Ovis aries: one gene and its partner. The protein of the gene in region 2 purifies or fractionates together with the protein of the main gene of each other region. This does not show direct contact. Links are inferred from orthologs where the notes say so. Each region holds a gene or a part of one and is shown on either strand. Other genes may lie near its edges.

The links. Proteins that work in one complex are often made in the same cells at the same time.
Region 1: the proteins of ADRB2 (region 2) and USP33 purify together in Homo sapiens (affinity purification with western blotting; 3 studies listed by BioGRID and IntAct, with this or other methods). This does not show direct contact. The link is inferred for Ovis aries from reciprocal best matches to the Homo sapiens genes ADRB2 and USP33.

What each region holds. Positions count from the first base shown.
Region 1 is NC_056054.1:54,170,526-54,178,060, reverse strand, and holds part of USP33 (ubiquitin carboxyl-terminal hydrolase 33), read left to right. Parts: intron 1-2,016; coding exon 2,017-2,062; intron 2,063-2,509; coding exon 2,510-2,690; intron 2,691-3,133; coding exon 3,134-3,260; intron 3,261-4,220; coding exon 4,221-4,390; intron 4,391-5,525; coding exon 5,526-5,607; intron 5,608-6,298; coding exon 6,299-6,407; intron 6,408-7,535. UniProt on the Homo sapiens protein: Deubiquitinating enzyme involved in various processes such as centrosome duplication, cellular migration and beta-2 adrenergic receptor/ADRB2 recycling.
Region 2 is NC_056058.1:58,013,658-58,020,867, reverse strand, and holds ADRB2 (beta-2 adrenergic receptor), read right to left. Parts: upstream 3,544-7,210; coding exon 2,287-3,543; downstream 1-2,286. UniProt on the Homo sapiens protein: Beta-adrenergic receptors mediate the catecholamine-induced activation of adenylate cyclase through the action of G proteins. The beta-2-adrenergic receptor binds epinephrine with an approximately 30-fold greater affinity than it does norepinephrine.

The DNA.
Region 1 (7,535 bases), on a different chromosome or scaffold from region 2:
CCCACCAAGGGATCGAACCTGGGTCTCCCACACTTCAGGCGGATGCTTTAACCTCTGAGCCACCAAGGAAGCCCTGAGATCTGTCAAGTATATGTTAATATTGATTATTGGGAATTCTCTGGCACTCTAGTAGCAATACGTGAACCGTGAACTTCCAGATGTTCAAGCTGGTTTTAGAAAAGGCAGAGGAACCAGAGATCAAATTGCCAACATCCACTGGATCATCGAAAAAGCAAGAGAGTTCCAGAAAAACATCTATTTCTGCTTTATTGACTAAGCCAAAGCCTTTGACTGTGTGGATCACAATAAACTGTGGAAAATTGTGGAAGAGATGGGACTACCAGACCACCTAACCTGCCTCTTGAGAAACCTATATGCAGGTCAGGAAGCAACAATTAGAACTGGACATGGAGCAACAGACTGGTTCCAAATAGGAAAAGGAGTACGTCAAGGCTGTACACTGTCACCTTGCTTATTTAACTTCTATGCAGAGTACATCATGAGAAACACAAGCTGGAATCAAGATTGCTGGGAGAAATACCAGTCACCTCAGATATGCAGATGACACCACCCTTATGGCAGAAAGTGAAGAGGAACTAAAAAGCCTCTTGAACATGAAAGAGGAGAGTGAAAATGATGGCTTAAAGCTCAACATTCAGAAAATGAAAATCATGGCATCTGGTCCCATCACTTCATGGGAAATAGATGAGGAAAGAGTGGAAACAGTGTCAGACTTTATTTTTTTGGGCTCCAAAATCACTGCAGATGGTGATTGCAGCCATGAAATTAAAAGACGCTTACTCCTTGGAAGAAAAGTTAATGACCAACCTAGATAGCATATTGAAAAGCAGAGACATTACTTTGCCAACAAAGGTCCGTCTAGTCAAGGCTATGGTTTTTCCAGTAGTCATGTATGGATGTGAGAGTTAGACTGTGAAGAAAGCTGAGCGCCAAAGAATTGATGCTTTTGAACTGTGATGTTGGAGAAGACTCTTGAGAGTCCCATGGACTGCAAGGAGATCCAGCCAGTCCATTCTGAAGGAGATCAGCCCTGCGATTTCTTTGGAAGGAATGATGCTAAAGCTGAAACTCCAGTACTTTGGCCACCTCATGCGAAGAGTTGACTCATTGGAAAAGACTCTCATGCTGGAAGGATTGGGGGCAGGAGAAGGGGATGACAGAGGATGAGATGGCTGGATGGCATCACCAACTCAATGGATGCAAGTTTGAGTGAACTCCAGGAGTTGGTGATGGACAAGGAGGCCTGGTGTGCTGCGATTCATGGGGTCGCAAAGAGTCGGACATAACTGAGCGACTGAACTAAACTGAACTAGTAGTTAAGACTCTGTGCTTTCACTGTCAAGGACCCATGTTTGATCCCTGATTGGGAAACTAAGATCCTACCAGCCATGTGATATGGCAAAATAAAAAAAATTTATTATTAATAATAGTCATTCTTTATTTATCTCAAGTTATTAATTTCCACATTCAGGGGTAAAGGTTGTAGGGACTTCCCTGGTGGTCAAGTGGCTGAGACTCCATGCTCCCAATGGAGGGGGCCTATTAATAAAAGATTCCACATGCTGCAACTAAAACCTGGTGTAACCAAGTAAATAGATATATTTTTACAAAAAAAAAACAAAAGAATAAAGGTTATATATTGACCTGACCAACCAATTCTATAAAACTAGGATTTTATTTTACCTAGTTTCAGCTGATAACATGAATGTTGTAAAGGCATAGCCAGACCACAGACAGTAGATTTTTCATCAAAGAATTACATAACTCTGAAGTTTTATCTTAATTTAAATAATTTTTTACAGAAAGTGATTCCAGTGTTTTATTAGTATGTTTTTAATTGGTAGCATATAATTCAGTAGTAAGCGTTTTTAGTTTGATACCTTTGTCTCTGCATTTTCTAAAAGATTTTGCTGTATATTTGAAAATGCTAAAGGTTTTGTAGATTTGTGTGGGAAACAGTTTTATTAAAATTGATTTTCCCTTTTTACCCCTTAGGTTGAGAAATGGAGTGAAGTTTTGTAAAGTACAAAAGTTTCCTGAGGTATGGGCTTTATGACAGTTCATTTTATTTTATGCGGTAGGTAAAGCTTTAATGTAACCCAGTGCAGTGAATAGTTTAGCATTTGTTGAAGATTGAAGTGGTCCTATTGACCAATTGCTATGTATACCCATTATGATTATCCATTTTAAAAATACTGGATTGCATATCAAGTAAGTGCCCCTAGCAGTAAATAAAACTGTATTAAACACAGTTTAATCAGACATTGTAGGGTCTTGCAGGTATAAAGTGTAAAATTGGAAAAACCAGTAGCTATGGAGTTATGAAGTACCACATTTCGGGATTTCCACATTTTAACATCTCTGGAATGTTAATTGGATGATTAAGAATTGGATGATTATGTTTAATCTTGACAATAAGTATATTTAATAGACTCCTTTATCTAGAACAAGAAATTTTGAAATAATCCTACCTTTCTCTTTTAAAAAGATTTTGTGCATCCATCTTAAAAGATTCAGACATGAACTGATGTTTTCCACCAAAATCAGTACCCATGTTTCATTTCCACTGGAAGGCCTGGATCTTCAACCATTTCTAGCTAAAGATAGTCCAGCGCAAATTGTTAACTATGATCTTCTGTCAGTCATTTGTCACCATGGAACTGCAAGTAGTAAGTATCCAAGTTTGACATACGATTTTGCATTAAAAAAAGAAACATCTGAGTTGATCTCAAACAAAGCCTGATTGAACAAAAAAAAAAATGTAAAAGATTTTTATTAATTATTTTATTTTGGTTTTTAAAATGTCAGAAATTTTAAGAATTTGAATAATTTTACTCTCATGTTTAAAATAGTAGAAATACATTTTGTGTTAAGATAAATAGTAAGGATTTTAACATGATTATTTTATACTTTTTTTTTTAAGATTGCATTCTTTGTTATAATTTTGATTTCCTCCAATGATGGTTGTAAGGGTACCTACTGGAAAAAATAGGTTAGTTCTTGCTGTATCTCTGCTAGATAGGAACTGAGGCTACAAAACTAGTTTTATCTTCCATTCTTGTGTTAATTTTATATCACTGAAATAATTTAAATTTTATCTGCCTGAATTCAGGTGGACACTATATTGCCTACTGCCGAAACAATCTAAATAATCTCTGGTATGAATTTGACGACCAGAGTGTCACTGAAGTTTCAGAGTCTACTGTACAAAATGCAGAAGCTTATGTTCTCTTCTACAGGTGAGGTACTAACTCATGAGTAGGCTGTTTTGACAAAGATGACAAAGCATCTCATATTGAGGTTAATCGTGACTTCTAAGACTTTCAAAGTGGATTGCTGAGTAAAGATTAGAAATTGTTTTACTCTCATTATGTGAGTAAAAGTGAAGGTTTGTGTGTAGAATGATCTTTTGTTAAGAAAATGTTAAATCATTTAGTTGAGGGGCAAAGGGTTATGTTTTGTTTTAGAAACATTTGTTTTACTTTTAAAAATTAAGCACTGATAGTAGGAACTAAATATCAAATTTTCTCCTAACATAGCCAATAAAGGAGGTATTAATATAATATACTTTACAGTATCCTCTAAAAGATTGTACAAGCTACTGTCTTGTTAGCAATCATTTGAATGTCTGTTTTCTAACAGTAGTTATGTGGATACCAGTAGTTATCACCTAGATATCACCTCTAGGGTTATAATGTAGTGGGGGAGGCAGGGAGCAAAGTACAATATATTTCCTATGAATAATTTTTAAGACCTAATAAGATTCACAATACAGTCCACCTTCCATGTGCATGGGTTTTGCATCTGAGGAGTCAGCCAATGGCAGATAAGAAATATTGGGGAGGGAAAGATTCCAGAAAGTTCCAAAAAGCAAAACTTGAAATTGCTCACCAGTAACTAGCTACCATTTATGCCCTATATACTAATGTTTGCATAACATTTATATTATATTAGATATTATGTAATCTGGAAGTAATTTAATGTATATGAGAGGATATGCACAGGTTACATGCAAATGCTACACCATTTTATATAAGGCTTTGGTATCTGCAGGGTTCCTGGAACCAGTCCCCCATGGACATGGAAAGATAACTCTTTTAGTGTGTATGCAAAATCTAATAAGGAAGTGGAAAAATCCATTTTACTAGCCTAATGGAGTAAAATGCTTATTGAATATAATGAATCATTGTCCTTAATAGGAAGAGCAGTGAAGAAGCACAAAAAGAGAGGCGAAGAATATCAAATTTGTTGAACATAATGGAACCAAGTCTCCTTCAGTTTTATATTTCTCGACAGTGGCTAAATAAATTTAAGACCTTTGCTGAACCTGGCCCTATTTCAAATAATGATTTTCTCTGTATTCATGGAGGTAAGAAACTCTAATGAAAGGTAGTAGTAGGAAGTTTCTATTAAATAATTTACAAATAAGGCAAGAGCCAAGGATTTTCCTCTTCCATTTATTTTCCATTTCCCATCTACATTCCAACATAAATGTATTTAATTTACTGTCGTCTCAGAAATTAGTTTTTTCTTATAAGTATGGGTAATCTATAGCCTCTTCATAGAATAGATATTAATATTTATTGGGTACCATTTCCAAATGCTGTGCTAGAGTCTAAAAATACCAGAAACACTGTTTCTGTTCTCAAAGCTCCAGTTTCATAGTAAAGACAGATGCATAAATACCTGATTAAGGTACACGGATCGCTTCTATTGCTCATCATTTTTCTCAGCTGAGAGACATCCAGCTCCAACCGTATCCATGGCTCTTATCCCTTTTGTCTAAATGAATAGCTGGCTCTTTTCCTAACCAAAAAAATGTACTTGGAATTTAACAACAACAAAAAAAACCTCATGCAGTTATTTGCTAAATATAACTTCTGCCTTTGTGACTGACTGTGTTACTGCCTGTTCCCATGACAAATAATACCTTAGTGTGACACTTTTAATTAAATTTCATGGTCGAAGACTTGTTATTCTCATTTGTTAATTATTTTTGCAGTGAAACCTCAAGAGATAGTAGAAATGTCCTGTATTGGATTTAGAAATCTAAACTTTGAAAATATTTCTGTATGTGAAATTTTTCTCTTATTACTTTCTCCCACTTGAGCTATTAACTTAAGTCTCTTCCTGTTCAGAATCTCCCTATAATCCTCTTAAGGCATTTATCTGTGCCTGCCTTTTATTTTGGTTACTCATGTAAATTCTTCATTTCTTCTTCTGGATTATAAGCTCCATGAAGAAAAGATTGTCTCTGATTTATCTCTGGTTTGCCCCAATACATAGTCAATGCTTAGTAAAGATTTATGTAAGTTAAATACCTGAACATCTTGGTTAACTTACTCTATATTTCAAGAGAAAATATATCTTCAGGAACATATGTTTATACTTAATTTTCTACCTCTTGGGGAGATTTTTTAAGAATAATAACTGAAAAAATGCTAAGAATTAATCAGTTAAAATTAACAAAAGGAACGAGACAGATTCATTTTAAACTTTTCTAGGTGTTCCTCCACGAAAAGCTGGTTATATTGAAGACTTGGTTTTGATGCTGCCTCAGAACATTTGGGATAACCTATATAGCAGGTTTGTTTTTTTTAATCAGTATGATATTGTGAAAATCAGCTTATGAAATTTGTTAAAGAGAGATTGGTTATTTTGTATGTGCTCCTTGTGCTGTATGTTGCTTATGTAGAATATTCCCTTTTTCCTTCATTTATTCATGCTGAAGCATGACTGGAGAGACTTGTAGCTAGAGTGGCCCTGATCTAGATAATTAATTCCAATTTTTCTGTTCTGATCGTCCATCTATAAAGGTATGCTGTGATATTTAACTCTCTAAAGTTTTAAATTTTATTTAAAAATATTTCACACAATCCCCTAATACATTTCTTAAAATACATTGAAAATAATTCATTTCATGAATTCCTACTTGAGTGGACAGGGGAAGTCTCCTTCTGATTAAAACTTGATTAAAACTGTGGCTGTGTATAACTTAAGATTTATAAACATATAAACATGCTAATTTTTGACAGCTACTTCTTTTATTGTATGTTATTGTTGCCCCAAACATTTTGTAACAAAAGTAGCTGTAAGAGAAAGTTCAAATATAGATAAAGCAGACAAATCAATAAACTGATATAATCATTGACCCTGAAAAGCATAAAATCAAGTCCTCACAATAATTTAGTTTTTACATTTTATGAAAACTTGGATACATTTCCTAGATCAGCTTTCTTCCAAATTATCATAATTATTAATATTCTTCATGCCTTAGGTATGGAGGAGGACCAGCTGTCAACCATCTGTACATTTGTCACACTTGCCAGATTGAAGCAGAGAAAATCGAAAAAAGAAGAAAAACTGAATTGGAAATTTTTATTCGGGTAAAAAAATGATGCTTTTCAAATTAGAAAAATAATATAGAATAAAGAAAAAGAAGTGACCCTTAGAAAAACTCTGTAAGTGAAATGATTGGATGAAAGAGTTGTAATAGATTTTAAGTGTTACAGTCACATAACAGTGAGAGACCCCAGTAAGGTGACTGTAGTTCTAGTGAGTTAAGTTCTTCCTTTGTGGATTTTTGTTTTCATGGATTGGTAATAAATTTTGGTTTGTGTATTGGCACTGGCAAGAAGTCTTATTGAAATAGTCAGTTATAGGTTTCGGTAAGCTAGTGATTGTTTTGGAAGGCACCTACTTAGATTCCGTTCTCTACTTTCACTCCTTTGTAAAGTAAATATTGTTTGGGGGAGCTCTCTATACTTATACCTAGTTCCCACAAAGTGAATATATTACAAGATGTTTCTTGATTACAGGCAATAGAAAGTATGATCAGAATCAATAGGAAGAGCTGAATAACCAGGTTTTATGGAGAGAAAGAATACACTTCAATTTGTCTAGGTAGCATGAAGTAAGTTTCTTCAAAGTGGTACTGTCAGTAAAACGGCTCCAACTATTTATTTATTCAAATTCCTAATAGAGAATCCTACTAGAGTTTGGGTCACTTGAGAGGCATGTTCATTGTATTCCTGTTCAAATTATATTGGTGGAGGGATAATTCTGTAAGGGAAAATTGAGATTTTTTTTAGTAAAAGGTGGGGAGAAGTTATTGAGTAGATACTACAGATGAATAGTACATTTCATGTTGTGGACACACACTTCTCTTCACACATACATGTTTCTTTTCATAGATTTAGAGGTGTTTTTTTGTGTGTGCCCTTGCCTAAATAAAGACATTTTTACATACACAGGAGAATATTACAGGTGTGGATTGATTTATTGTTCTTGAACCTCATTTGCTTCCTAAATATAAAGAGGCAAATTTTAGTTAAATATTAAAAATAGGTCATTCCATGAATACTTGAATAGATGGCTAATGACTATCCATTAGGGTTTGATCACTAGAAGCCATTCTAAGTATTTTGAGTAGAATAGGAATACAAGCAATGCAAGACTTAAATAACTACTAAAAGAACTGTCAGTGAAGATCAAGAAGACCATAGCTGACTTTC
Region 2 (7,210 bases):
CTCTCATATCCTTGGCTTCTTACCTTGGGCAGGTCATCCCCCCTTGCAGGCTTTCAGTCTCTTTGGATGTCAAATGCTTTTTATGCTTTCTCTTCCAAGTCCAAGATCCCATGAGGCTATGAGGAGTGTGAAGATTAACTGGAGAAGCTGCCTGCATCTCTGAGTGCAGGGGCCAGAGCAGAAGAAGAATGTGATAATAGGTATGAAAGCCCTTGGAGAAAGAGCAGAAGTGCTGAATGGCACACACTCTCCAAAGCCTGATGGCATGTTCTAGAAACACAGGCAGCTAACTTTCTCTTGAGATGTCAGGGCTCGCCTGGAAACACCCCATCACTGAGCTGATGAGAAGCAGAGGAGACTAATGCTTTTTTTGCTTGGGCACCCTGGCTGGGATAGAAGAGAAGAAAGAAATAGAGTGAGCTTTGTAAGTGAGTGAAATGGCAACGAACCCTGCAGGCTGAACCTCTCCTGGCTGGCGCTGCCAAGGAGGACGATCCACTCCGTCAAACCTGGGCCAAGCTCTGGCTCAAACACACAGGCAAAAATAGAAAGGGGGTGGGAAAAGAAATGTGTTTACTTTCATGATTTTCCCTTACGTCCCTCTTAACACTATTATAATCTCTCCACAAACAGGCAGTAATGGCTCAGAGTCCTCACCTTCATTGATAAACCCTCCCAAACAATTCACGTCTCACAGTCAGTCTGTGGGCAGCTGGTGAATAAGCTTGGAAGGCAGTGTGATGAAGTAGAACACTGGCCCAGGGTCTGTCACTAACTGAGAAAACTGAAAAATGCCTCTCTGGTGCTCTGCAAAATAAAGTGGTTATAATAGGTAGAATCTAAACATCTGCTTAGAGTTTTGAAGTTTATAACTGGTTCTCAACCAGGGACAATTTCATCCCTCAAGGTAGGGGTATCTGGCAGTGACTGGAGAACATTTCTGGTTGTCACAGCTCAGGGGATGCTCCTGGCATCTCATGGGTAGAGACCAGGGCTGCTGCTGAACATCTGACAATGTGGAGGACAGTCTTCCACAGTGGAGAATTATCTGGCTGAAAATGTTAAAAGTACGAGGTTGAGAAATCTTGATTTGTCCTGAAGTGACTAGAGTCACAGGGAGAGGGGGCAAAGAAGGACAGCAGTTCAAAAGGAGGAGGGTTCAACCCTGTTTCTAGATCATGAGGTATTCACCAGTGACATGTTTTCCAGCTTTTCTCCCTATAACCCATGACTTTTTCATTTCCCTTGGAATTTCAGGGCTATGTTTGAGCAGCTTTTTCACAAGAGCTTCCTTATCCTCAAAATGCCAAGCCCTGATGCAGTATGATCTCTACTATAAGAAAAGACAAGGATAAAAATATAAGCAGCTGCAAAGCAAGTAGAACTGGAAGGTGGGCAGCAGAGGCACATGGAGGCACACAACAGATGCCCATAACTCCAGTTCTATGAGTCAGTGTTTCTGATGTTACAACACAGGAATAATGCTCGTAGGAAGAGCAAGATGAGCTGTGCTGGGTGAGCACACGGCGAAAGAACCGATGTGGGAGCAGCAGCGTTAGAAGAGACGCAGGTTTGCAGCGGCAGATTCAAAGGCAAACGAAAGGGTTAAGCAATCGGTGCGTGTCATTCCACATTAAGTCACTGGGCAGTTATTGCAAATAGTTACCTGCAGTTTCCAGTGGGGGAGGCAAGCACACTCCAGTCAAGGGGTTTTGGAGAAACAGGTGCAATGAAGTCATGGTCAAACAATTTATTTACTGTAAACTTTAGACTTTGCTCAGAAAAACAACCAAAGCTGCCCCTCAAGTCCCTGCCTACAACACCCCGTTTGAGCAAATAAGAGGGGCGAGGAGAGTCCATGTTCACAGCGAAAGGTCCGAGAGACTCAATATCTTCCAGTCCAAGGGTGCAGGAAGGAAGGTCTCCTTCAGATACAAATTACCAGCAGCAATATATTACCCCTAATACTTGATCAATGAGGTAGATATGCAGGAAAAGTCATCAAAACATAGCAGCCCCAGGTTCTTTGAGACTGAAGCCCTTCAGACATAAACTTAACGAGTTCCAGGCAAAGAGGAACTGAACTGTACAAGAAACAGTTACTCAAATATATTTTGTCACAACTTAAAAAAATAAAAAATAAAAAGGCAGAAGGATATGTTTCCTCCTGCACATCTCTGTACAACTTTATTCTAAATTTATTACACTCAAGTTAAATAGTCTGTTTAGTGTTTTGTTGCAGGGAACCGGGGAGAAGGGGTGTCTTAAAAAGTAGAAAAACCTGCATTACAGCAGTGAGTCATTTGTACTACAATTCCTCCCTTGTGAATCAGTGCTATCACTGGGCACAGTACCTTGCTGGTTCACAAAGTTTTCGGTGCCTGGGGGGTCTTCACACAGCAGTTCACTGTCTTTCTCCTCCCCCAGGTGATATCCACTCTGTTCCCCCGTGTAGTCAGTCCTGTCATTGCTGGTGCTGGAGCAGCCATTCCCATAGGCCTTCAATGAAGACCTGCGCAGGCAGAGAAGCTCCTGGAAGGCAATCCTGAAATCTGGGCTCCGGCAGTAGATAAGGGGATTGAAAGCGGAGTTGATGTAGCCCAACCAGTTTAGAAGGATGTAAATTTCCTTAGGGATGAGGTTATCCTGGATCACGTGCACAATGTTGACAATGAAGAAGGGCAGCCAGCATAGGGTGAAAGTGCCCATGATAATGCCTAAAGTCTTGAGGGCTTTGTGTTCCTTCAAGTAGAACTTGGATGTCCTGCGTTGTCCTAGACCGCTCCGCCCATCCTGCTCCACTTGACTGACGTTTTGGGCATGGAAGCGGCCCTCAGATTTGTCGATCTTCTGGAGCTGCCTTTTGGCTACCTGGAACACCCTGGAGTAGACAAAGACCATGACCACCAGGGGAAGGTAGAAGGACACAATGGAGGAGGCAATGGCATAGGGTTGGTTCGTGAAGAAGTCACAGCAGGTTTCCTTAGCATAGCACTTGATAGCTTCCTTGTGGCTGGCCCGGTACCAGTGCATCTGAATGGGTAAGAAAGAGGTAAGGCCAGACACGATCCACACCATCAAAATGACCACCCGGGCCTTATTCTTGGTCAGCAGGCACTGATACTTGAAGGGTGACGTGATGGCAAAGTAGCGATCCACAGCGATCACGCACAGGGTCTCAATGCTGGCCGTGACGCACAACACGTCAATGGAAGTCCAAAACTCACACCAGAAGTTGCCAAAAGTCCACATTTTCATGAGGATGTGGCAGGCCCCAAAGGGCACCACTGCCAGGCCCATGACCAGGTCAGCACAGGCCAGGGAGGTGATGAAGTAGTTGGTGACCGTCTGCAGACGCTCAAACTTGGCAATGGCTGTGATGACTAGCACGTTTCCAAACACGATGGCCAGGACAATAAGCGACATGAGGATGCCCATGCCCACCACCCAGGCCTCGTCCCGTTCCAGCGTGCCGTCTTGGTCCGGCGCGTGGCTTGCGTTGGGCGCCAGCAAAAAGACGCTGCGGTTCCCGGGCTGCCCCATGGCGCGCAGGCTGGCAGGTGAGCGCACAGGCTGCCGGCGCACCAGCCGCCCTCAGCGAGCGGACCTCCGGCGGGGCGCTGCGGGCAGCAAGCGAGCACCTGGAAGACTCATTCAGCGGCCGTGGGTGGGTGCGGGTGTGGTAGGGGTGCGTGGTGCACTCAGCTCCGGGGGTACTCTGGACTCGCAGTGCCGGGCAGTTTCAGCCAGTTCCAGCTTGCGCTCTGGAGAAGCCGTCTCTGAGTGCGCGCTGTCCGTTATGTGACCAGGACTTTAGGGGAACTGCCCTCCCCGTGACGTGCTAGAACTTTCAACCAATAGAACGCGGGAAGCCCCAAAGGGGCGAGGCCCACGCCCTCTCCCGCCCCTTCCCTCCCCTCTCCTGCCTGCTCCTGGGGCTGGCCCGGGCGGGACCCAGCTGCTCTAGCAGGGCGGGTCGGCCACCATTCCCTCGGGGCTCCCTCGGCTGGCCCCGGAGGCTGAAGCCGGCTCTAGCGAGCTTACCAGCCAGCTAGAAGGTGCCGGTTCTTTGGTGGGCGCTACCTGTCTGCCTGGGGCGGCTGTGCGGCTTGAGGTCTCAGGGCAGATGGCAATACTCCGGCACTTCCTCGCATTAGATGAGCGTGCCCACCGAGACACGCACAGGCAGGCACATTGTACCCCGACATACATGCTCAGACTTATACGGAACCACAGCCACAGACACTCAGACACACCCATCCAGCGCACCAACGAGTGCTCAGGCACAGAAGCCGACTGGCACAATCACCCCTGTCCAGCACGATCGACATGGCCAGGAGCAAACCAGGAGCACCCAGAAGCATAAAGACACCGACATACAGACAAAAAGAAGTAAACAAACGGCATACAAACGCCCACTTGGAGGCAAGCAGTGTGCCACAGAGAAGGACTTCCCCATCCGGATATTCCAAACTCTTTACCCTTGCCCCCTGGACATCCCCCCCATCTTCCCCAATACACAGGTCTCATGGCATATTCCCTTTCAGACATTTGGCAAGACCACAGGTGGTGACTTTAACAGCAGCCAACTTCCTCAGCATGCTTGCTGTCCAGTACTTTTGGTGCCCTCCTTGGAAATTTGCAGGGATTGAGACCTAATTTTACTCTTGGGATTTCATTTGGAGCTGGGGTATACGTGTATGTGCTTGGGGATAGGAAGAGAAGGTTGTATGCTTTAATTCTTAATTCTAGGGAGTGTGGCATTGTTCCTTCCTTATCTGTTAAAATGAGAATATGTTGAAAATGAAATAATTTTCAAGTTCAACTTCTTCAATAATCCCTTTGCAACGAGAAAAATCTTCTGTTGGGTAGTTTGTTGATCTGTTGGGCTGAGCCGTATGAAATTGCCACTTTTCTGTAGTATCTGACTTTAAATAGATGACAATTTCATATGGCTCAGATTATAAGAAGGTGTTAACATTAAGAAATGTTTTGAAACCACAGAAAGCAAAAGATAACTTCTCTTAAAAAAACTAGAGTCTTTGTCCATGAAATACTATCCATTGCATCTGGCATATGAATTTACTGTTTAAAAAATTAATTGTCAGGGTTTGATTTCACATGTATCATTTGTGTCTTTGAAAAATGGAAAGTATTTCATGCAGTGTAACTGAACATATTTTCTAGATTACATAATAACATAACAATGGCTAACATTTATGGAACGTTCTGCTATGTGCTTTTCATGCATTATTCCATTTAATCCTTCCCACAGTCCCATGGTGTGTGTTGTTAGGGTGGGGTAGGGTATAACTATTTTTAGCTTAATTCACAAAGGGGTCTCAAAGAAGAAAATAACTTGCCCATGGGCACAAGACCAGGCAGTGCCAAAAGCAGGAGCTGAACCCAGTCCTGTTTGACTCTAAAATCCATCTTTTAATCCTTTCAATGTACTGTGTCACCACAGTGCAGAAAGGAATAGAGGATGGGGAAGAAGGACCGCAACTGGAATTGGAATACCAGGTTTCAAATTCTCATCTTAGAACTTTCTAGCTTATATTCCTTAGGCAAATAAAAAATGTGGAGTCTAATTTCCTCCGTATCTAAATGAGGAATAAAGTCACTTCCATTGTGCTGAATGAGAATCAGATGATATAATGACAAAGGTAATTATGATTTGCACTTAATAAATGCCACACAAATGAAGGTTATACATAAATTTATATAAATTACTTAGTAGTTTAGAAGATATTGTTAGTATTCTCTAATAGAACACTAAAATGCTTTAGGACAAAAGCAACATGGACATTTACACAAGAAGTATAACTCAGAAACAAAATTTAAACTACATGCTCTTTTTAACTTTCCTCACTAGCAGAAATTGTTTTTGCATGACAGATGCCTTAAAATAACAAATATTTCCCATAAAAGCCACACATATTAATTAAGAATCTATTATGTTCGCATAGTTTTCAAAATATACCCATCCCATATTTGTGTTTTCCAAAATTGGCTCTGGTATGATGCATTTTAGGAAGAGGCAGTGTGCATTATGCAATTATGCAATATTTCTTTAAATATATATCTACCCCAAATTGTGAAACTGAGCCATTTAAAGCCTCCTTCCTGTTTGTGAAGCTATGAAGTAAATAAGCATATTGTTTAACCGTCTTATAACAATAAAAGAACAAAGAAAGCCCTTATAGGGCAAACATTAATTGATCATTTAGATATACACGTAAATCACTTAAAATTTTAATGTTGATTATTTTGGGAAGCACCTTTTAAAAAAACCCACAAACACTAAATCCAGAAGGGAGGCTGCTTATGTCAACAAAGTTCCAGGCCTTTTCCTCATCAGCTTTGCCAAATGGGCAACCCTCTCTCAATCTCTTCCCCTTTCTTTTTCTTGTATCACTGTGGCTGATAGAAATTTCAAACTGTCTTCATGCCAGGAGTCTTTTACCTGACCTCCCTTTTAGAATTATAAGATTAAAGACAGTTAAAATGGAAAAGAGTTTAATAGATCACTTATTCTCTCCACGCTTCCAGTTTGAAAATTAGGAAAGTGTCTGGTCGAAGGTGGCACGGAAGATTGGGAGTCCAGGTCTGTTCCTGGTCTCACATGTTTTCACTGCCCAACATTGTAGCTTCATTTCCCAGTGGAGGAGTGTGACTAGCACTGCTTACTGGGCTTGTGGTCTTAGAGAGTTAAGGTTTTAGTTGAACTGGAAAGTTCTAAATGTACCTTTGTTAGATGTAAGGAAAAGCAGGCTCTTTTATGGTGATTGATAGTGTCTAACTACGTATTTTGTCAATCCCTTAAGACTCTGATTTGTCGTTTCCTGCCTGCCAAACAGGAAAAAAAGTCACAGTTTGATTTACCAAACAAATGTTTAAAGAGGAGTAAGGCTCTGTGAGCCAAGGAATGCTCTCACATGAATATCTGGATGCTTTAGGAAAATCTTAGACTGGTCTTGGCTTAGGCAAGATTATTTCCATTTTTTAAAACACTTATTTTTGTTGTTGAGGTGTAATTGATATATAACACATCAGTTTCAAGTGTACAATGTAATGATTCAGTAGTTGTATTCATTGTGAAGTAATCACCTTAGTAAGTCTTGTTACCATCCATCAACATGCATTAAGAGTTAACTTTTAGGATTTGTTCTCTTGGCAACTTTCAAGTATGCTCTACAGTATTACGGAC